Linked DNA regions of Macaca fascicularis. The protein of the gene in region 1 purifies or fractionates together with the protein of each later gene. This does not show direct contact. Links are inferred from orthologs where the notes say so. Each region holds a gene or a part of one and is shown in the gene's direction. Other genes may lie near its edges.

The links.
Region 2: the proteins of TULP3 (region 1) and SIRT1 purify together in Homo sapiens (affinity purification with mass spectrometry; 5 studies listed by BioGRID and IntAct, counting the BioPlex papers as one, with this or other methods). This does not show direct contact. The link is inferred for Macaca fascicularis from reciprocal best matches to the Homo sapiens genes TULP3 and SIRT1.
Region 3: the proteins of TULP3 (region 1) and IFT140 purify together in Homo sapiens (affinity purification with mass spectrometry; 5 studies listed by BioGRID and IntAct, counting the BioPlex papers as one, with this or other methods). This does not show direct contact. The link is inferred for Macaca fascicularis from reciprocal best matches to the Homo sapiens genes TULP3 and IFT140.
Region 4: the proteins of TULP3 (region 1) and KBTBD7 purify together in Homo sapiens (affinity purification with mass spectrometry; 3 studies listed by BioGRID and IntAct, counting the BioPlex papers as one, with this or other methods). This does not show direct contact. The link is inferred for Macaca fascicularis from reciprocal best matches to the Homo sapiens genes TULP3 and KBTBD7.
Region 5: the proteins of TULP3 (region 1) and IFT122 purify together in Homo sapiens (co-immunoprecipitation; 6 studies listed by BioGRID and IntAct, counting the BioPlex papers as one, with this or other methods). This does not show direct contact. The link is inferred for Macaca fascicularis from reciprocal best matches to the Homo sapiens genes TULP3 and IFT122.
Region 6: the proteins of TULP3 (region 1) and WDR19 purify together in Homo sapiens (affinity purification with mass spectrometry; 5 studies listed by BioGRID and IntAct, counting the BioPlex papers as one, with this or other methods). This does not show direct contact. The link is inferred for Macaca fascicularis from reciprocal best matches to the Homo sapiens genes TULP3 and WDR19.

The regions. Positions count from the first base shown.
Region 1 is NC_088385.1:3,800,663-3,804,256, forward strand, and holds part of TULP3 (tubby-related protein 3), read left to right. Parts: intron 1-1,437; coding exon 1,438-1,597; intron 1,598-2,946; coding exon 2,947-3,084; intron 3,085-3,594. UniProt on the Homo sapiens protein: Negative regulator of the Shh signaling transduction pathway: recruited to primary cilia via association with the IFT complex A (IFT-A) and is required for recruitment of G protein-coupled receptor GPR161 to cilia, a promoter of PKA-dependent basal repression machinery in Shh signaling.
Region 2 is NC_088383.1:78,647,428-78,650,400, reverse strand, and holds the end of SIRT1 (NAD-dependent protein deacetylase sirtuin-1), read left to right. Parts: intron 1-325; coding exon 326-654; 3' UTR 655-2,444; downstream 2,445-2,973. UniProt on the Homo sapiens protein: NAD-dependent protein deacetylase that links transcriptional regulation directly to intracellular energetics and participates in the coordination of several separated cellular functions such as cell cycle, response to DNA damage, metabolism, apoptosis and autophagy.
Region 3 is NC_088394.1:2,271,631-2,275,195, reverse strand, and holds the end of IFT140 (intraflagellar transport protein 140 homolog), read left to right. Parts: intron 1-2,358; coding exon 2,359-2,565; 3' UTR 2,566-3,062; downstream 3,063-3,565. UniProt on the Homo sapiens protein: Component of the IFT complex A (IFT-A), a complex required for retrograde ciliary transport and entry into cilia of G protein-coupled receptors (GPCRs).
Region 4 is NC_088391.1:20,547,930-20,552,156, reverse strand, and holds the start of KBTBD7 (kelch repeat and BTB domain-containing protein 7), read left to right. Parts: upstream 1-1,355; 5' UTR 1,356-1,667; coding exon 1,668-3,725; 3' UTR 3,726-4,227. UniProt on the Homo sapiens protein: As part of the CUL3(KBTBD6/7) E3 ubiquitin ligase complex functions as a substrate adapter for the RAC1 guanine exchange factor (GEF) TIAM1, mediating its 'Lys-48' ubiquitination and proteasomal degradation.
Region 5 is NC_088376.1:153,970,192-153,974,481, reverse strand, and holds the start of IFT122 (intraflagellar transport protein 122 homolog), read left to right. Parts: upstream 1-1,417; 5' UTR 1,418-1,536; coding exon 1,537-1,577; intron 1,578-4,290. Other genes in the region: MBD4 (methyl-CpG-binding domain protein 4), read right to left, coding at 922-1,025. UniProt on the Homo sapiens protein: As a component of the IFT complex A (IFT-A), a complex required for retrograde ciliary transport and entry into cilia of G protein-coupled receptors (GPCRs), it is required in ciliogenesis and ciliary protein trafficking.
Region 6 is NC_088379.1:38,553,475-38,557,068, forward strand, and holds part of WDR19 (WD repeat-containing protein 19), read left to right. Parts: intron 1-805; coding exon 806-887; intron 888-2,691; coding exon 2,692-2,842; intron 2,843-3,594. UniProt on the Homo sapiens protein: As component of the IFT complex A (IFT-A), a complex required for retrograde ciliary transport and entry into cilia of G protein-coupled receptors (GPCRs), it is involved in cilia function and/or assembly.

The DNA.
Region 1 (3,594 bases):
GTTAGTCCTTGCTCTAACACCTATTCATTCTTGATGGTATATTCCGTATTGGCACGTTATCTTAACTCCCCAGTCTTTTCCCTCTGTACACGAGCTATTGAATTAATCAGTGTGCTCTCATCAGGCCAGTTCAGGAAAAACACACTTCCTTTTTTGATAGTCTCGCCCCTTGGAGTGACTCTTCTTCCTGGAGGCACTTTTTAGAAACAGTATCAATGGAAAAAAGTAAACAGATGGCTTCTTTTGCCTGAAAAACAGTAGTAAGTGGGTTATGATATCTTTGTTTTTTAATCATGTCTTTATTTTTTAGCATGGGGCTTCACATGTTTCCTATTCTGAGTTATCCCAGATCCATAATAATTGCTATATATTATAAGCCCTTATTTGCCAAAAGGTACTAGTACTATGTGCTAGTACTCTCCATTTCGTTGGTTTTTTATTCTCAGGGTCTGTCATCCGTTTTTCCTGACTTTTCTTGCTACCATAGTCTTTATCTTGCTTTTATTCAGAGTTGACCGCTTTGTATTTGGTATGTTCCAACTGCCATTTTTTTCTTCTCACCCTTGATCCAAATTTGATTTCTAATATTATATAAGATAAATAAGAATGCCAAACTTACTGCTTTTTGACTAATTAGAACATGGAAATAATTTGAGTTTTAGAGAATAATAAAGTTTTTTTCTTCCATTTACAAAAGTGAGAAAACTTTGGAAAAAAAAAAAAGACTAGAAAAGAGAAAATAATCATGCCATAGTCTAGCACCTGAAGAAACCCCCCTTGCTCTGTTCCTCCATCTTCCCCCCGTGCATGTGTGTTTGTATGTTTTGAGCTTGTAATCACATTGTGATAATGCTGTGATGATTCCCATACATCTTTAGTAGACTTGGTTGGAAATGCATTGTGTGGGGCAGGTGCAGTGGCTCACACCTGTAATCCCAACACTTTGGGAGGCCAAGGCACCAGACTGCTTGAGCTCAGGAGTTTGAGACCAGCCTGGGCATTATGGGGAAATCCTGTCTCTACAAAAATACAAAAATTAGCTGGGCGCGGTAGCACACACCTGTAGTCCCAGCTATTCAGGAGGGTGAGCCAGAAGGATCGGGCGCACCTTGGAGGTCGAGGCTGCAGTGAGCTGTGATAGTGCCACTGCACTCAGCCTGGGCAACCAAGTGAGACTCTGTCTCAAAAAAAAAGAAAAAAAATGCATCATGTGATTTTAAATAGATCTTTATAGGTGTTAGGTGTTCAAAAGTATTTGTTAAATGAAATGATTGAATCCTTACTCCTCTCTGTGCCTCAGTTTTCCCATTTCTTAAACGGGGAAATAATAATTTACAAGATGTTTTGTGAGGATCAGTGAAAAACAAACTAAATGTTGGAAGTGGCTAGGTCATGTCAAAACTCTACTTGCTGGCTATCATATCGCTTTTTTCCCAGAGGCTACTACTTGAGAAGAGGCAGAGGAAAAAGCGCCTTGAGCCGTTTATGGTGCAGCCCAATCCAGAAGCCAGGCTACGGCGGGCGAAGCCAAGGGCCAGTGACGAGCAGACTCCCTTGGTGAACTGTCATACTCCCCACAGCAATGTCATCTTACATGGTGTGTATTTAGGCAGCATCACTTCCTGCTGGGGTACAGTTTTCACAAACCTAGCAGGCAGGAGGATTCTCAGACGGACCAAAGGGACAATATTATTAGCACCATTACTAGGTACCTTCACAAATCTTTATAAACACATTTGGGGTCTTTGAGGAGAATAAAAGCAATATAATCAGTGCAAGATGCCTTAAGGTTTGTGTCCATTTTAGAACTGTTGTTTTCTTTTCTTTTTTCTTTTTTTTGAGATGGAGTTTTGCTTTCATTGCCCAGGCTGGAGTGCAAAGGCAAGATCTTGGCTCACTGCCAACCTCCTTCTCCTGGGTTCAAGTGATTCTCCTGCCTCAACCTCCTGAGTAGCTGGGTTTACAGGCGCCTGCCACCACGCCCGGCTAATTTTTTTGTATTTTTAGTAGAGACGGGGTTTTACCATGTTGGCCAGGCTTGTCTAGAACTCCTGACCCAGGTGATCCACCTGCCTCGGCCTCCCAAAGTGCTGGGATCACAGTCTTGAGCCACCGTGCCCGGCAAGAACTGTTGTTTTCTAGATGCCAGATGAATAGTTTAGAATGACCTATTTGAGGAGTTTTTGATTGTTAAATCATGGCAGAGGTGAATCATGAAGCCAAGAATAGGTAGAGAGCATCCATTCTTCCAATAGATAGTTCAAAGGACCATCTGAGATGGTAAGGGGTGGAGGAAGAATAAGATTGTAAGTTCCTCTAAATCAAGCCACCTGAGCTATTGGCTTGGACAGGATCTGTACTATGGAGGACCTACTTTGTTTTCTTGGTCTCATTCTTAAGTTTCTGAAGTACATATAACTTCAGTTACTAAAGTACAAGTACATATTACTTTAGTAACAGAGCATGTTAATAAAATGAACACCAGGCTGGGCATGGTGGCTTATGCCTCTGATCCCAGCACTTTGGGAGACCAGGCAGGTGGATCGCTTAAGGCCAGGTGTTTGAAACTAGCCTGGGCAACATAACAAAATTCCATCTCTACGAAAAAATTAAAAATTAGCCAGGCGTAGTAGCACACACCTGTAGTCCCAGCTACTTGGGGGACTGAAGTGGGAGGATCATTTGAGCCTAGGAAGTCGAGGCTACAGTGAGCTGTGATTACACCACTGCTCTCCAGCCTGGGCGACAGAGTGAGATCCTGTCTCAGAGAAAAAACACCAGTTCTGACCTACTCTCTTAACACATGTTCTTATGGATGTTAAGAAAGGAGGGGAGATAAAGTGATTCGGTAGTTCTTAATTCTGATCACATATGCCAAATCCACCCAACTAAATAGTGAATAATACTTTGCTCCTTTTTTAAAATTCATTTTATTTTGTCCCCTAGGTATTGATGGTCCAGCTGCTGTCCTGAAACCAGATGAGGTTCGCACTCCGTCAGTAAGCTCCCCTGCTTTGGAAGAAGATGAAAACAGCGTGGGCACGGCTTCCAAGCCAGGACTTCAGGAGAGTCTCCAGAAGCATGGTGAGGACTGGCAAAGATTTTAAGGCAATTTGTCTTCTTACTCATTTGTCATCTTTTCCTTTCTTTTCATTGTGGTTAACAATCCACATGACTCCAAATTACTCACGGCTTAGGGCCTCACGGGGGTGACAGTATTAAGCATCTTTTACATCTGAATGTTGGTAATTGTCAGCAATGGTAGTATTTATACTATTGCCTGAGAAAAAGAAGATAATTAAATCTAAACTACTAGCTACCATAGATGACTGTTTCTCTCTTTTTGACTATTTTCGGTTCCCACCGTCTCCTTCTGACAGAGTTGTCACTCAGCCCTCTACTCCACCTCCGTTTCATAGTTGGTGATGATTGATAGCCTTTCTTCTAGTTGGAGCTCTCATTTCCATAAATATTCCCATACATTTCAAAGGTCCCTTGTAGTCTTTCCTTTTTACAAAAATAATTTTATAATGAGAAGGGATTAAGCATCCCCTTTTCAGATGAGAAAACTGAAGCCCAATAATGAATATCTAT
Region 2 (2,973 bases), on another chromosome or scaffold:
AAATTTGCAAAGATATAATAAATGGCAGAACTAAGATTTGAACCCAGGACTAAGTGTATTGCTTGTATTTAATTACTTTTTAAGAGACAGGCCATCACTGTGTTGCCTAGGCTGGCCCTTGAACTCCTGGGCTCAAGCAGTCCACCCGCCTCATCCTCCTGAGTAGCTGGAACTGCAGGCACATCATGGCCTCCCAGTTGTTTTTAAACACTAATGGTAGTCTTTCATAAGGACACTTATAAAAGGCAGAGCTGGTACCCACACTTCATTCCAGACTGCTCAGACTTAGAAAACTGAAAGTAACGTTTTCATCATTATATTTCAGGTAATCAGTATCTGTTTTTGCCACCAAATCGTTACATTTTCCATGGCGCTGAGGTATATTCAGACTCTGAAGATGACGTCTTATCCTCTAGTTCTTGTGGCAGTAACAGTGATAGTGGGACATGCCAGAGTCCAAGTTTAGAAGAACCCATGGAGGATGAAAGTGAAATTGAAGAATTCTACAATGGCTTAGAAGATGAGCCTGATATTCCAGAGAGAGCTGGAGGAGCTGGATTTGGGACTGATGGAGATGATCAAGAGGCAATTAATGAAGCTATATCTATGAAACAGGAAGTAACAGACATGAACTATCCATCAAACAAATCATAGTGTAATAATTGTGCAGGTACAGGAATTGTTCCACCAGCATTAGGAACTTTAGCATGTCAAAATGAATGTTTACTTGTGAACTCGATAGAGCAAGGAAACCAGAAAGGTAATATTTATAGATTGGTAAAATAGATTGTTTTTCATGGATAATTTTTAACTTCATTATTTCTGTACTTGTACAAATTCAACACTAACTTTTTTTTTTTTAAAAAAAAGGTACTAAGTATCTTTAATCAGCTGTTGGTCAAGACTAACTTTCTTTTAAAGATTCATTTGTATGATAAATTCATATGTATATATAATTTTTGTTTTTGTCTAGTGAGTTTCAACATTTTTAAAGTTTTCAAAAAGCCATCGGAATGTTAAATTAATGTAAAGGGAACAGCTTATCTAGACCAAAGAATGGTATTTTCACTTTTCTTTGTAACATTGAATGGTTTGAAGTACTCAAAATCTGTTAACTCTAAACTTTTGATTCTTTAACACAATTACTTATTTTTAAACACTGGCATTTTCCAAAACTTGTGGCAGCTAACTTTTTAAAATCTCAAATGACATGCAATGTGAGTAGAAGGAAGTCGACAATAGGTGGGAGGGCACTCGGTTGTCTTTACTTTTAAAAGTAATACTTGGTGCTAAGAATTTCAGGATTATTGTATTTATGTTCAAATGAAGATGGCTTTTGTACTTCCTGTGGACATGTAGTAATGTCTATATTGGCTCATAAAACTAACCTGAAAAACAAATAAATGCTTTGGAAATGTTTCAGTTGCTTTAGAAACAATAGTGCCTGCCTGGATCCCCTTAGTTTTGAAATATTTGCCATTGTTGTTTAAATACCTATCACTGTGGTAGAGCTTGCATTGATCTTTTCCACAAGTATTAAACTGCCAAAATGTGAATATGCAAAGCCTTTCCGAATCTATAATAATGGTACTTCTACTGGGGAGAGTGTAATATTTTGGACTGCTGTTTTCCATTAATGAGGAGAGCAACAGGCCCCTGATTACAGTTCCAAAGTAATAAGATGTTAATTATAACTCAGCCAGAAAGTACATGTCTCCTTCCATTGGGAGGATTTGGTGTTAAATACCAAACTGCTAGCCTAGTATTATGGAGATGAACATGATGTAACTTGTAATAGCAGAATAGTTAATGAATGAAACTAGTTCTTATAATTTATCTTTATTTAAAAGCTTAGCCTGCCTTAAAACTAGAGATCAACTTTCTCAGCTGCAAAAGCTTCTAGTCTTTCAAGAAGTTCATACTTTATGAAATTGCACCGTAAGCATTTATTTTTCAGACCATTTTTGAACATTACTCCCAAATTAATAAAGTATTCCTCTGTTGCTTTAGTATTTATTACAATAAAAAGGGTTTGAAATATAGCTGTTCTTTATGCATAAAATACCCAGCTAGGACCATTACTGCCAGAGAAAAAAAATCGTATCTGAATGGCCATTTCCCTACTTAAAAGATGTCTGAATCTGAATTTATTTGGCTACACTAAAGAATGCAGTATATTTAGTTTTCCATTTGCATGATGTGTTTGTGCTATAGATAATATTTTAAATTGAAAAGTTTGTTTTAAATTATTTTTACAGTGAAGACTGTTTTCAGCTCTTTTTATATTGTACATAGTCTTTTATGTAATCTACTGGCATATGTTTTGTAGACTGTTTAATGACTGGATATCTTCCTTCAACTTTTGAAATACAAAACCAGTGTTTTTTTACTTGTACACTGTTTTAAAGTCTATTAAAACTGTCATTTGACTTTTTTTCTGTTAACTTACATTGTTTAAGGTATATAATTTTTAAATCTTGCAGAATTTGTACAGCTTCGAATGCTATAGTATTAGATGCTTTCTTTCTCATACTACATTTCTTCATTCAGTTTATTACATTAGTCTCACCAGACCAGTACTTGCAAACACTGATGGTGCTGATCATAGCAGGCGATGCATCACCACCAAGCATTTCAGAACTATTTCAACCATTTTAGGCTAGAGGCCTGAGCAAGTAAAATGTGGGGAAAAGGCAGGGCAGGGCCTAAGAAGGATGTGACAATGTCCTATGATAAAGGACCAGAAGTTTGGGATTCGAGAGAGAACAGGAAGTGGTGGATAGTGAAAATCCATGTGATACAAAGGCTGGGTTAACTGAAAATCTGTTCTTGGATGCCAGGTCTTTTAAGTCCAAAGACTACAGACGACATTTGGTATCAACTTTTTGAGGCTGACCTGAGAACCTACTTATTTTGAGGGAGAAAGTACTCTTGAAGAGGCCAGCAGTGTTCCCCTTAAAATGTATGTGTAAC
Region 3 (3,565 bases), on another chromosome or scaffold:
CCCCCACCGCCCCTCACCCACCTATGCCACCCGTCCCGCCCACTGCCCCACACCCACCTACGCCACCCGTCCCGCCCCCCACCGCCCCTCACCCACCTATGCCACCCGTCCCGCCCACTGCCCCTCACCCAGCTACGCCACCCGTCCCGCCCACCGCCCCTCACCCAGCTACGCCACCCGTCCTGCCCCGCCACCGCCCCTCACCCACCTATGCCACCCGTCCCGCCCACTGCCCCTCACCCACCTACGCCACCCGTCCTGCCCCGCCACCGCCCCTCACCCAGCTACGCCACCCGTCCTGCCCCGCCACCGCCCCTCACCCAGCTACGCCACCCGTCCTGCCCCGCCACCGCCCCTCACCCAGCTACGCCACCCGTCCTGCCCCCCACCGCCCCTCACCCACCTACGCCACCCGTCCTGCCCCGCCACCGCCCCTCACCCACCTACGCCACCCGTCCTGCCCCGCCACCGCCCCTCACCCAGCTACGCCACCCGTCCTGCCCCGCCACCGCCCCTCACCCAGCTACGCCACCCGTCCTGCCCCCCACCGCCCCTCACCCACCTACGCCACCCGTCCTGCCCCCCACCACCCCTCACCCACCTACGCCACCCGTCCCGCCCACTGCCCCACACCCACCTATGCCACCCGTCCCGCCCACTGCCCCACACCCACCTACGCCACCCGTCCCGCCCCCCACCGCCCCTCACCCACCTATGCCACCCGTCCCGCCCACTGCCCCTCACCCAGCTACGCCACCCGTCCCGCCCACCGCCCCTCACCCAGCTACGCCACCCGTCCTGCCCCGCCACCGCCCCTCACCCACCTATGCCACCCGTCCCGCCCACTGCCCCTCACCCACCTACGCCACCCGTCCTGCCCCGCCACCGCCCCTCACCCAGCTACGCCACCCGTCCTGCCCCGCCACCGCCCCTCACCCAGCTACGCCACCCGTCCTGCCCCGCCACCGCCCCTCACCCAGCTACGCCACCCGTCCTGCCCCCCACCGCCCCTCACCCACCTACGCCACCCGTCCTGCCCCGCCACCGCCCCTCACCCACCTACGCCACCCGTCCTGCCCCGCCACCGCCCCTCACCCAGCTACGCCACCCGTCCTGCCCCGCCACCGCCCCTCACCCAGCTACGCCACCCGTCCTGCCCCCCACCGCCCCTCACCCACCTACGCCACCCGTCCTGCCCCGCCACCGCCCCTCACCCACCTACGCCACCCGTCCTGCCCCGCCACCGCCCCTCACCCAGCTACGCCACCCGTCCTGCCCCGCCACCGCCCCTCACCCACCTACGCCACCCGTCCTGCCCCGCCACCGCCCCTCACCCACCTACGCCACCCGTCCCGCCCACTGCCCCTCACCCACCTACACCACCCGTCCTGCCCCCCATCACCCCTCACCTGCCCTCTGCACCCTCTGCCTGCCTTCTGGAAACCACTTCGTTGCCCTCTCCAAAGCTAGCTCTGCGCACAGAGCAGTCACACACGCTAGGCCCTGGTTGCATCAGGAGGACACTGGCCCTTTCTGACCACAGGGTCCCTCTTCGACCCTGGCCAGCTCCTTCCTCTCCCTCTCTCCCTGTGCCGACCCTTCTCTGAATTCTGCCACTGCAGGACCTCAGCCTGACCTGGACTCCCCGCTACAGCATTAGCCAAGCTTGTTCTCCCGTGTCCTTATGTCCTGTGTCCCCTGTGTCCCCAGCACAGTGCCCGGCACATGGCAGAGTGGTTTGTCAACATCTGAGGCAGCATCTTTTCAGTTGTAGATGTTTGCCCTCACCCTCTGATTCGAGACTGCGTGGAAGGCTTGCACTCCACCAGCGCCCACCCCAGCTGAGGCCTTCCTTAAATACAGGTCCACTGCGGGTGATGGGAGGGGCCATTCAACAAGCTTATTCTATCTTAATAGCTGAGGCTTCATCTCAAAAAAATAATAATACCCAAGACAAACCACTAGATATTGCTGCCTGCCCTCCAGTCTGACATGCATGTCCACTCCCAAGACTTGAGTGCAAAGCACAGGGCCTCTGCCGCCCCGGGAGGCTCTGCCCGCGCACACAGGGGGGGCAGGCCTCTGTGCACAGCTGCTGGGGACTTTCCAGGGCCCTGGCTCTGCATTTCCAGCTGAAAGGCCAACCGAAGCTTCCTGTTAACCATCCACACATGGCACATGTGCGGTCCGCGGGCACCGCATCCCCCCATCACCACTGGGAAGCCTCAGTGCACCGTGTCCTCTAGCAGGGAGGCACCCCACCCGCCTCCAGGGGCAGCAGCATGTGCCTGGCCTGCGGGCAGAGAGTCGTGCCCGGTTGTTGAGGAAAGCTGAGTAACATCTGCTCCTCTGCCCCAGGCCTACAGATTCCTGGAGGAGATGCGGCGGCGGCTTCCCTTGGCCAACATGTCCTACTACGTGAGCCCGCGGGCTGTGGACGCCGTGCACCAGGGGCTGGGTCTCCCGCTGCCACGCACGGTGCCCGAGCGGGTCCGCCACAACAGCATGGAGGACCCCAGGGAGCCGGACGAGGAGGTGGTGGAAGAGGCAGACGACGACCCCTGACGGGCCTGGGCCCCAGGACCAGCGTGCTGCTGCAGGAAGGCACCTTCTGGAATCTTCCAGTCAGCTGCAGCAAAGCCAGCTTTTCACTGGGAAAAAACACGTCTGTGATGGAAGACGCAACAGAGCTGGGCGGGAGCGCAGCGGCCCGGGCCGGCAGAGGCTGTGCCCCATCTGCACCTTGCTGCCTCCGGGTGCCGGCAGCTCCGTAGATTTGTGGATTCGTTCCTTTAAAGGGAGTCGGGTTCACCCTTCCATCATATTCTCCCAACTACACACTGTAAAGCCTGAGAAACTTGTAGAACCTCGGTTAGGAAGCTACAGCTGGAGGGCTGGGGCACCTGCCCCCACACATCACATCCCCCCACACTCCTGCAAGACCCACGGCTCCTGAGCAACAGCTGGGACACCCGGGCCCTGGTGGCTGCACCCCCCACTAGGCTCTGCCCACCGGCCACCAACACTCCTGCAATTCCAATAAAGTAGTTTATTTTCTGGGAGCCCGTGTCCTGTCCACCCGCCCCACAAGCCCATCCAGGAGCCACACGCCCTGCCTGGGCCGCGAGCACGATTCTCCTGGTGACACGGCGCTCAGCCCGAGGAACCTGGGACAAGAGCTGCTCTGTCCTGCTTGGTGGCGCTCACAGGAGTGCCTTGCGGGCTCTGAGCAGCAGGCACACCGTCCTCCCCTCCTGCCGGCCTGGTTCTGCCCTCACTGGAGGAGTCACCCCCACCAGCAACGCCCACGGCCCTGGCCACAGCCCCACGTCCAGGCTGCCATGTCCCGGCGGGCAGTGCCCAGGCCCAGTGTATTTTTAGCAGACTTGCTGCACTATAAATAGCGGCAGGCCGGGCCTTCCTGCATCTGCACTCTCCGAACCGGATGCTGCCGCCGACCTGACCTCGCTACAAAGCCTGGCTCCGCTGCTCCAGACCGCTGCCGGGCCACCTTCCTTGCTGCCGGCGGGGGTGGCCCTGGGGAGGCCTCCAGGGACTAGGGAGA
Region 4 (4,227 bases), on another chromosome or scaffold:
ATAAACAAAGCAAGGAAAGAATGAAACAACAAAATCAGAGATGTACTGAAAATGAAAGTACACTCCAGTGTGGGCGCAGGCCCAGCACAGGGCTCAAGGGCCCTGTTACAGAATTCCTGGAGGTTTAAATACCCTCTAGAGGATTCACTGGTTACTTGGTGTATACCCTATGTAAACGAAGAGAATGAATTAAAGTTACAAACTCATTTACTCGGCATACACCCTATGGAGAGGGTATTTCTTGTTATAGCTAAAGTGTGAATCGGCCTTATGTTCCCTGCCTCCAGACCCTATTTTCCTGCCTCAAATCTCTAATACTTGATTTTGATGATTTAACTGTTGATCAATGCAAATATAAAAGACTTTTGTAAAGCATAGGCTATACTGTATGTTAATTCAAGGAATGTCAGGGCATGTACTAATGCTGAATTCTGAGAATCACGTGCTTTTGTACAGAACAAAGTCTGTTTCTTGAAATATTTTGAGTTAAATACTCCCTAAAACTCCTTAATAAAGGCAATTACAGAATCTGTTAATTGATATGTGGAATGGCAGTGAAAGAGACTGTATTAGACGACTTGAAAACACTCATATTTGGAGCTTAATGAAAATATTCCTGCTCCCCAGAGATGAAATGTTAGTGAGAGTAGCAAATAATCTATTTTTATATGCCCGATTTGCATATTTGAGGCCATCTATTAACACCGTTCTTTAGGACCTCAACCTAGTCGTCTAAGACATCCTTATTAAACAAGGCCAATACGTACCATTTAACATTGAAAATAGTTAATGCCCTTCAAAATCTTTCAAAAGAATAAAAATTAAAAACTAAGTTCTTTGTAAAATTTTGCGGTTTAAAATAATTTTAAAAATTTTAAAAATTTTTTGGTTTCAAATTAGTGGGTGCCTCATTTATCATAAATTATAAAAGAGAATCTAACAATTATTGGCTACATTCTAGGCACGGGGTAACGCTTTATTGTTCTTCTAACCAAAAAAATACATGTATCTAAGTATCCTATGTAACGTATCATTCAATCACACAAAACCCTATGAAATACTGGCAGGGCCCGGTGGCTCACGCCTGTAATCCCAGCACTTTGAGAGGCAGAGGCAGGAGGATAATTTGAGCCCTCAGGAGTTCAAGACCAGCCTGGACAACAATAGTGAGACATCGTCACTTCACCATCATATCCAGAATTAATTTCTACTGTTAGGGCAGTCAGCGAAAGGAAAGCTCGCGATATTACACAAACTACTACTCCCAACATGCAAAGCGGTTTCTTTCCCTCTGTCCCCGCCCGGCCGTCCGAGAGCCCCAGCAGGCCTCGGGGCGCGAAAGGCAACCTGGAAGCGGTAGTTCTCCTGGGCGCCTAGCGGGATCGCCAGCGCGGCAGTGGGGCCTTCCGCGGCTCCAAGCCAGCGGGTCCTGTGAGGGCGAGCGGAGGCGGAGAAAGGGCGCGGGAGTGAGAGAGGGTGAGTCAGCCACTGTCTACGCAATAAAGGGAGACCTCACCGCGGGCTAAGGCTGAATTCAGAAGTGCGGCCCGTGCCGCAGTCTGTTCCAGGACGCGGCTTGTCTTAGCGTCAGCGAGGGAAGGTTGAGGAGGAGCCAGAGCCGGGTCCGGCAGCCTTTCTCGCTATCAGCGCCCGTCGCCATCTCCACCATGCAGTCCCGGGAAGACGCCCCGCGCTCTCGCCGCCTCGCCAGCCCCCGCGGTGGGAGGCGGCCCAAGAGGATTTCCAAGCCCTCGGTTTCGGCCTTTTTCACGGGTCCAGAGGAATTAAAGGACACGGCCCATTCTGCAGCCCTGCTGGCACAGCTCAAGTCTTTCTACGACGCGCGGCTGCTGTGTGATGTGACCATCGAGGTGGTGACGCCTGGCAGCGGGCCTGGCACGGGTCGCCTCTTTTCCTGCAATCGCAACGTGCTAGCAGCTGCGTGTCCCTACTTCAAGAGCATGTTCACAGGTGGCATGTACGAGAGCCAGCAGGCCAGCGTGACCATGCACGATGTGGACGCCGAGTCCTTCGAGGTGTTGGTCGACTACTGCTACACGGGTCGTGTCTCTCTCAGCGAGGCCAATGTGCAGCGCCTGTACGCAGCCTCCGACATGCTGCAACTGGAGTATGTGCGGGAAGCCTGTGCCTCCTTCTTAGCCCGACGTCTTGACCTGACCAACTGCACCGCCATCCTCAAGTTTGCAGACGCCTTCGACCATCACAAGCTTCGATCTCAGGCCCAGTCCTATATAGCTCAGAACTTCAAGCAGCTCAGCCGAATGGGTTCAATTCGGGAAGAGACTCTAGCAGATCTGACCCTGGCCCAGCTGCTGGCTGTCCTGCGCTTGGATAGTCTGGACATAGAGAGTGAGCGGACTGTATGCCATGTAGCTGTGCAGTGGCTGGAGGCTGCTCCCAAGGAGCGGGGTCCCAGTGCTGCGGAAGTCTTCAAGTGCGTGCGCTGGATGCACTTCACTGAAGAAGATCAGGACTACTTAGAAGGGCTGCTGACCAAGCCCATCGTGAAGAAGTACTGCCTGGACGTTATTGAAGGGGCCCTGCAGATGCGCTATGGTGACCTGTTGTACAAGTCTCTGGTGCCAGTGCCAAACAGCAGCAGCAGCAGCAGTAGCAGCAGCAACTCTCTTGTATCTGCAGCAGAAAATCCACCCCAGAGACTGGGTATGTGTGCCAAGGAGATGGTGATCTTCTTTGGACACCCGAGAGATCCCTTTCTCTGCTATGACCCTTACTCAGGGGACATTTACACAATGCCATCACCTTTGACCAGCTTTGCTCACACTAAGACTGTTACCTCCTCAGCTGTCTGTGTCTCCCCAGACCATGACATCTATCTAGCTGCCCAGCCAAGGAAAGACCTCTGGGTGTATAAACCAGCTCAGAATAGTTGGCAGCAACTTGCAGATCGCTTGCTGTGTCGTGAGGGCATGGATGTGGCATATCTCAATGGCTACATCTACATTTTGGGGGGGCGAGACCCTACTACTGGAGTTAAGTTGAAGGAAGTGGAATGCTACAGTGTTCAGAGAAACCAGTGGGCATTGGTGGCTCCTGTCCCTCATTCCTTCTATTCCTTTGAACTCATAGTGGTTCAGAACTATCTTTATGCTGTCAACAGTAAGCGCATGCTCTGCTATGATCCTAGCCACAATATGTGGCTGAACTGTGCTTCTCTTAAACGCAGTGACTTTCAGGAAGCATGTGTCTTCAATGATGAAATCTATTGTATCTGTGACATCCCAGTCATGAAGGTCTACAACCCAGCTAGGGGAGAATGGAGGCGGATTAGTAATATTCCTTTGGATTCAGAGACCCACAACTACCAGATTGTCAATCATGACCGAAAGTTGCTTCTCATCACTTCTACAACCCCACAATGGAAAAAGAACCGAGTAACAGTGTATGAGTATGATACTAGGGAAGATCAGTGGATTAATATAGGTACTATGTTAGGCCTTTTGCAGTTTGACTCTGGCTTTATTTGCCTTTGTGCCCGTGTTTATCCTTCCTGCCTTGAACCTGGTCAGAGTTTTATTACTGAGGAAGATGATGCACGGAGTGAGTCTAGTACTGAATGGGACTTAGATGGATTCAGTGAGCTGGACTCTGAGTCAGGAAGTTCAAGTTCTTTTTCAGATGATGAAGTCTGGGTGCAAGTAGCACCTCAGCGAAATGCACAGGATCAGCAGGGTTCTTTGTAAATAGATTTTGAGACACTAAGATGTTTCTACTGCTACGGAATGTATTTTAAACACATATCCTTTCTTTTTCTTGAAAAAAAAAAAGTTGACCAGGACCACAGATTTGGTTTAGAAAGGGTAATATTTTGAAATACTACAAGGTTTAAACAGTCCACAAAATCGACCTGTTTAATAATATACCTTCCTGAAAGTCCAAAATTAAAATATGGAAGCAAGAACTATGTAATTGACTGGGATGCTTGGTAGGTTTTTTTCATTGTTCAAATATTCATTGCACAGTGGATTGTTTTGATTAGTTAGTATGCTTTTTTTTTTTTTAATTAATTCAGTCTTCTGTTAATTTTTAAGTTTTGGTTAGTGCCACAAGGAATTTAACTTTTTAATCTGTACAATAGAAAACTGGACTAGGAATTGTTGGTGGAGTTTTGAAGGATGTATACTTTCCTTCAAAATAAAGTGGTAGATTTTCAAAATTTTACACTAGTCAGTTCTTTATATTCTA
Region 5 (4,290 bases), on another chromosome or scaffold:
TAAGCAGGCTGGGGGCAGGAGTATTGCCTGAGCCCGGCAGGTCAAGGCTTCAGGGAGCTATGATTGTGCCACTGAACTCCAGCCTGGGTGACAGAGTGACACCCTATCTCAAAAAAACAAAAAACTAAACTAAACTAAAACTTCATTAATGTTCCAGTGTGTCTTCTATGATGAAAACATAATTTAAAAATTAAAAAAAGAAAAATTTCAGTAAAGTGTATCCTAATCACTAAACCACAGATTGTAAAAGCTGGATGGGTCTAGAGAGATCATTTAACCCAAGTTATTTTCTACAAATAGGGAAACTATGCAAGAACTAGAATTAGAATCAAGGTTTTCTGATGTAAGTTGGGGTAAAATAATTTTGCGGAGCTGGGCAGATCTTATGAAATGATACTGTTTACAATTTTAGAGATAAAGATACTGAAGCCTGGTGAAATCAGCACAAACTATTAAAGAGACTGGGGCTCAAATCCCAGCTCCGCCAGCTGTTAAGTTTAGCAGCAAGTTACTTAACATCTCAAAGTCCCTGTAAAATACTTTCTGTAAAAAGAAGGTGATGCCTCTTTCAAAGTAGTTCTTAGGATTCAATTTCGAAAAAAGTAGGTAAATCTTAACCTCCTATCATACATGTACTCAAATAACTTCCTAGGATCCTCCAACTCAAGGGGACCTCTTGCACAAAACCTCCTGGCTCCCCCTCAAGTCTCCCTGGTCATCTTGGATGAGGAAGTCGGGCGCACCCCAGGACTGATCCCACAGGAAAAGCACCTGAGCTCCAGCCCCTAGTAACTAAACCCGTGGGCTTCGAGGTCTCTGCCGACCCTCTGTCCAAGGTTAGAAAGGCCCACACACCGTCCACTCTCCCGATTCCGTTTTACAGGCGGTGAAACTGAGGCCCAAAAGGGAACAGTAATTTACCGGAGGTCACTCGGCGGATCTGGGACTAGGCGCTCACTAGAGGTGACGGTGGGGGCAGCTCCGCGGTCCCCCAGGTTCAGACTCTCCGACCCAGTCGTGCCCATCGAGCAGGCTCCGGCTGCAGCAACGAGCCCAGCGCTGCGAAGCCCTGGGTGTGGGGCGGAGTAAGATGTGAAACCTCAGCTCACGGAACCGGGCTGCAACCGAGGTCTGAATGTTGCGAAAGTGGCCCAGACGCCGCCGCTGCTTTTCGGCCGCCCCTGCTTTTCGGCCGCCCCCTCGGCTACAGCCGCCATTTCCACGCTCCACCAATCAAATCCATTGTCGAGGAAGGCGCACCGCCCCCACAAACCCCAACCAATCGCGCGCGCTCTGGTTGCGCAGATGCCTTAGGGGCTCCAGTTCCACCCTAGCTTTTGCTGCTTTTCTCGCTTTGCCTTTCGGACATGCGCACTCGGAGGAAGGCGACCTCGCGCTCAGCTTACCGCGCATGTACGTTGCCAGGGGCAACGCAGGTAGCCAAAGTGGCTTGTGGCGTGGCTACCGTTAGTGAGGCGGTTGCTGAGACAGACGCTGAGGCGGAGAGGAGGAGCCCGAGGCGTAAGGGAAGCCGCGATGAGGGCCGTGTTGACGTGGAGAGATAAAGCCGAGCACTGGTGAGAAGCCGGGCGGTCCGCGAAAAGCGGGAGGTCGAGTCCCAGCGGGGACTGCGCGAGCCGCTGCAGCGTGTTTGAGGGTGGCAGCGAGCTTGCTGCCTGGGCCGAGGGCACTGAACCCCGGCCTGGGAGACTGCAGGGTCACCCTCCCGCCCCTTGGCGGTTGGCGAAACTCCTGAGGGTTGGAGAGCGGCAAAGGGAGGTGCCGCGCCTGGAGGTAGTGCCGGTGGAGGCGGCTCTTCCCTCACGGTCTGGCCTTGTCGCTGCCTTGGGTTCGTCTCACACCCACGACACAGCACGAAGCTGCTCAAGCTTCGCAGTTCTTGCCACTTCCACATAGTACCCGTACTCTTGTTTACTTGACGTTTTTCTCTAAATTGTCTCATTTATTTTAATTATGATTTCACATTTTACAAGGAAACTTTATTACTCCATTTATGAAAACCAGTGTCACTTGCTCTAAGTGTTAAGATAAAATCAGCGTCACTTGCTCTAAGTGTAAAAGTAAAACTTAAAGTAGGGAGAAACAAAACTGAACAGGCTGTAGCTAGCTGTTGTTGCTAGGGAGCCTTTAAACCTGGTATCTCGTTTCTCTAAAATTGGAGATTGGCAGGTATGATCAGAGAGGTGCTCAAAATGAGCATCAAACACAAGCTCTCCTAATTGGGAAGTTTGAAAAAGAATTGAAGGTGAATAACTTTGTCACCTTTTGATTCAGTTATTTAATGTCCTATTCCATTGTTATTGGCTAAATCTATAATATAGTCTGTTTTGTCATACACTTATTTATGGGATAGGTCTCGGCCTGACTTTGAAAATCATTCAACATTGTTGTGAAGCCTCTGTTCTGGCCACTGGAGCAGGTTACTTGTCTTTGGTTCAGTCCTTTCTGAGATCTTTCTCTGTGTGAAGCATGCCCTCTCTCCTCATCTCACACGGAAATCCTGCACATCCTTCAAGGCTCACGTTGGAGACGGGTCCTCTCTTTTGTGTTCAGCACTAGTGGTAGCTGACATTATGTGCCAGGTCTCGCTAAGCACTTCTTATCCTTCATCTCGTTGTCTCTGTTCACCACTTTCTGAGGTAGGTACTATAATTTCCTCTATTTTATGTATGAGGAAACTGAAGCACAGAGAGGGTGGGTAATTTGCCAAGGTAACACAGTGAGGGGTGGAGCCAGCTTTCAAGCCCAGGTCTTCCTCACTCCAACGTCAATGCTCTCAGCCCCTACATTAATTTTTCCTTATATTACAGAGGTGGCAAACTCAAATGTCTGCAGGAGATAGACAGGTAACATAAATGGGAGATGTCTATTTGCATCTTAAACACTAGGAATTGTATGTTTTCCTTAGGAATAGTCTTGTATTCTATACCCCATTTTTCTTGAAACACACAGCCCTATCAGTGAATCTTTCATTTGTACTTTTAATAGAGATTTGAGTTTTAAAAAATCATTTTATTTTTAACTTTATTATAAACGTACCTATATCACAAGCTGATGATAGGCAACTGAACATTTGGCTTCAATGTCAGAGAGTAACAGAGTGTGGCAAGGAGTGTGGCAAACTGCAGAACTCATGCTTGTCCTAAAAGGGGCAGCTGCTGCTCAGCTCCTGCCAATTACCACCATGCAGGAATTTGGCCTAGTGTGCTCAGCTCTTCCTGTTTTCACCAGAAGCTAGGAATCTGGGTTTTTATGTGAAATGGCCTAATTTTTAAATGTTAGCATCTACTCTGAAAAAAAACAAAACAAAACACTGTGTGGGCCAAATAAAACATTTGCTGGCCAAATGCAGCCCGATTTGCTCTGTTTTCAACCCCTGGCACAGAATTTCGTTCATTTCTCTCTTGTGGTACTTCCAAAGTCTGTTGAGTGTAAGAGTTAATTTTTTAAATCTGTTTATTTCGGAAGTCATAAACCCGTTAAAGGCAGTGGCTATGTCTTACTCGTTTCCAAATTATTCTAGAGCCTAGTCAGGTCAGTGGTTGTTGTTACTATGGGTAGTAATAAAATACTAGATATATATAAAATGAAATGCTGCGGATAGATGTATTCATACATGAATGAATAAGTGAGTGAATGAATGATAAATAAAGATTGGTTGTCTGGTTTTTGGCCCATTACAGATTTGAAACAACCTATTAGGATAAGGGATGTAGGGTTCTATAGACCATCATACCACCAGCTGATGGCCCAGAATGAAAACAAAACAAAAAACTAAAAAAAAAAAAAAAAAGGTAGTAGAACTAAAAAAATCCTAGATGTCAAAGATTAGTCCTCCACATCCAAATCAGCCGTCGTCTCCCAGTCTGCTCCTTTGCTTCTATTTTAACCTTCACATAGCAGCAGGAACTCTCTTTTTTTTAAGACCTGCTGCTGTGATCCTGTTACTCTACTTCTCATAAACCTAGAGTGATTCCCAATTACTTTCCATGTCAAAATTGTGCATTTTGCTAGAGGGTCCTCCTGACCCTCCTCCCCACTAGGCTTGCAGCATTTAAATTTATACTTTTAGGTTGAGCAGAAAACTCTATCCTTCCCAAATGCTCCCTTATTCTATGAACTCCCTAGTTTTCTCCCTTAAATGCACAGCTCCAGGTTCATCTCAACCAGGATGCCTTATTAGGCTATTCCAGTCAGGCTAGCATCTGCTATAACTCTCCATTCATGCCAGCTAGTATTTACTAAGTACTTGCTATAGGCAACATGTCT
Region 6 (3,594 bases), on another chromosome or scaffold:
CTTTAGGAGTGCAGTGGGGGAGGGGAAACACATTGGTGGAAGATGTGGGGCAAAAATAGGAATTCCTGACAGAGGCTCTCCTGCAACAGAGCTTTCTAGCACCATAAGCCACAGGGGTGCTTCTCTCATCCTTTTCTTTTTCTCTGGCCCCAAGCGTTAGCGTCATTCCACACTCACCCTGCACATTCTCACCAAGTATCAGCAGCCCTGACCCCTCATCTGCCTGCTTCTCTCCTCCCCACTGCCTCACTTTTTAGCCTCCTTATCTCACCCCTGGATGACTGCAGTGGCTTCATGGCCTTGCCCCTGCTGACTCTCGAGGCTCACCCCATCCTAAATGCACCCCTCAATGTGTCACTGACCCTGCTGGTCCTTGCCTAGTCTGAGGCCTTCCGCCCATCATTGCCCTCTTAGCACAGACAGGGCCCCTTTCCTTTAGCAGATCATTCTCTTTCTTTCTGCCTGATTCCTGACTCACTCAGCTTTCAGGTCTTACCACAACTTGGTGAAGTTGGTCCCCCAAGAATGGCCAGTAAGAGATAGACTGGGGATTTGAACCATATCAAGTGGTCTAGGGCAAAGTCAAAAGCAGAGCATAGAGTAGGTGAGGCAGGTGAGGCCATGGAGCCAGGCAGCAGCTGTTGAAGAGAAAAAAGAGAGGGATCTCCAGTGGCATCAGCCAGGAAAGTCTACAAGGATCCCACAGTGATCCTGGGCCATAATCAAGGAGTTATTTGGGGGAACAAACCATGAATTGGGGCTAATCAATGACTATGAGAAGAGTAAAATATGTCATTTGTTTCAGATTCATGTTAAAAATGGAGATCACATGAAAGGGGCTCGCATGCTTATTCGGGTGGCCAACAACATCAGCAAATTTCCATCACGTAAGTACCACTTACCACGCCGCATGCCCCATGCCCCACGCTGGCACAGCACCCCTTGTGCAGGCTCCCCAGGCCGCATGCCCCATGCCCCACGCTGGCATGGCACCCCTTGTGCATGGCACCCCTTGTGCAGGCCCTTGTCACTAACTCGTTTAATTATCACAGCAGCTCCGTGAAGTGGCATGTCAGGGCCCCAAGACCACTCCCAGGTTTGATGATTCTTCACTGGGAGGATTTACAAGAGTCAACACACGGTAGTACCAAAGCTGAGATTTACCACAGCAAAAGCATCTGAGGCAAAATGAGCAGAAGGATTCGCCCAAAGGCGAGCAGGTGCAGGCACGGACCTCCAAGAGTCCCTTCACAGTGGAGCACACAGGACGCAAGTTCAGTAACTCCTCCAAGACTGACTTGTACAACATGGTGAAACGTAGAGTGCCAAGAAGCTCATTAGAGACTTAGCAGCCAGGAGTTTTATTGGGGTGTGGTCGCATAGGCACCCCCTGCCTGGCATGTACCCAGTTTTCCAGGCTCCCAAAGAGCAGGTGTTCAGCATAAACCACATTGTTTGTACAAAGATTTTAGGCACGGTGAGCCACTCATCAGTTCTGGAAATGGTGGGAACCGTCTCCAAATCTATGTTCCAGATGCGAGCCAAGGGTTAGCTGTTCAAGCCTTTCCAAGGATGACAGTCTCAGGCCTGCACACACAAGTACTTTTCTGCACAAACTGGGACAAAAGAAAAGAAATAACATTTGCCCGAGATCACATTGTCAGCTAATAATAGTCTGACTCTGTGTTCACAAGCACAGTAGGGTGTTGCCTCTGAAAAGGCCCCACTATTCTTAAAGCCATGTCATGATAGCATTCTTAAATAATTAAATCCTGTCACATTGTGACAGGGATCAGCAAACTTTTTCTGTAAAGGGCCAGATGTAAAATATTTTAGACTTCGTGAGACATATGGTCTGTGTCACAACTGCTCAACTCTGCCATCTTCTCATGAATAATACATAAACCAATGGGCATGACTGTGTTTCAGTAGAGCTTTATTTTTGGACACGAATGTTAACCACATACACTTTTAACATGTCACAAAAATACTTTTGATGTTTTTTCAACCATTTAAAAATGTAAAAATCATACTTTGCTCATGGGCCATATAAAAAGTCAGAGGGCTAGATTTGGTCCATGGGTCATAATTGGCCAACCCATATTCTCTTAAGTGTATTTTTGTCGTCATCGTTACATGAAAGTCTACCATGCGGGCAAAGTGTTGGATAGGACAAGCACTCTCATGACTGCTGGTGGGAATGGAGATTGGTATGGCCTTTCCAGAAAGCAGTTTGGCAATTTGTGGTAAGAGTATTTTTTAAAAGGTCCTGTTTTTGAGCCAGTAATTCTGGGTGTCTGTCCTGAAGAAAGAATTTGATGCCTGCAGAGAGATTAGTGCATAAAGTCATTAATCCCCCTTATGCTTTTATCAGCAGTCCTGTCAGATGCAAAAAAATGTATCTAAGAGGTGTGAAAGGAAACTCACCAAAGTGTTGCCTCAAAGGATGCAGGTCCCAGCGTTACAAGGCAGAACATGGTGTAATCAAAGGAAAAGCAATTGATGGGCAGTTAGCCTGACCCCACGGCTACGTACTTTCCTCATTAAACAGATCATATCTGGTTCTTTGCAGAAAAAGCAAAGTTCAGAGGCTATGACCCTGTTTTCCTACAGAACCAGGGTGGAGTCCCGCCTGTATCACTGAGGACAGGAGACACTGTGCCCTTACTGCTCTCCCATTTTCTCTTGCAGACATTGTACCAATCCTGACGTCAACTGTGATTGAGTGCCACAGGGCAGGCCTGAAGAACTCTGCTTTCAGCTTCGCAGCTATGTTGATGAGGCCTGAATACCGCAGCAAAATAGATGCCAAATACAAAAAGAAGATCGAGGGAATGGTCAGGTAGGCAGAGACAGCTATTTCGCTATCTAATCACATTTCTCAAAGGCATTTCCCAAAATGTAGCTGCCAATGTGCGGGTTCAATAAGAAAACAGCAGGGGGCCAGGTATAGTGGCTCACGCCTATAATCCCAACACTTTGGGAGGCTGAGGTGGACGAGTCACTTGAGGTCAGGAGTTCAAGACCAGCCTGGCCAATATGATGAAACCCCATCTCTACTAAAAATACAAAAATTGGCTGGGCCTAGTAGCGCACACCTGTAGTCCCAGCTACTCAGGAGGCTGGGGCAGGAGAATCACTTGAACCTTGGAGGCGGAGGTTGCAGTGAGCCGAGATTGTGCTGTTGCACTCCAGCCTGGGCAACAGAGTGAGACTCCATGTCAAAAAAAAAAAAAAGGCGGGCATAGCAATTAGGATTGTATTCAGCTCCAAGCAGCAGAAAACCTAACAGCAGCTTGACCAAGTCAGTATTTATTTGACTCATATGCAAGGCATCACAGTCCAGGGCTGGTGTCACTGTGCCTTGATGCCACCAGACCCAGATGCCCCTGTCTTCCAGCTTTGCCATCCATAGCATAGAGGTTTCCTCCTCATGGTGGCAAGACATCTGCCACACCCCCAGACATCACGTCTTCGTTCCAGGCAGGAAGAAGTAGGGAAATGAGAAGTCAGGGGGATCTTCTCCTTTTTGCTCAGGAAGGTACCATCCTCAGGACCTTCAATTTTCACCTCCGTGGCCAGTACTCTGCCTCA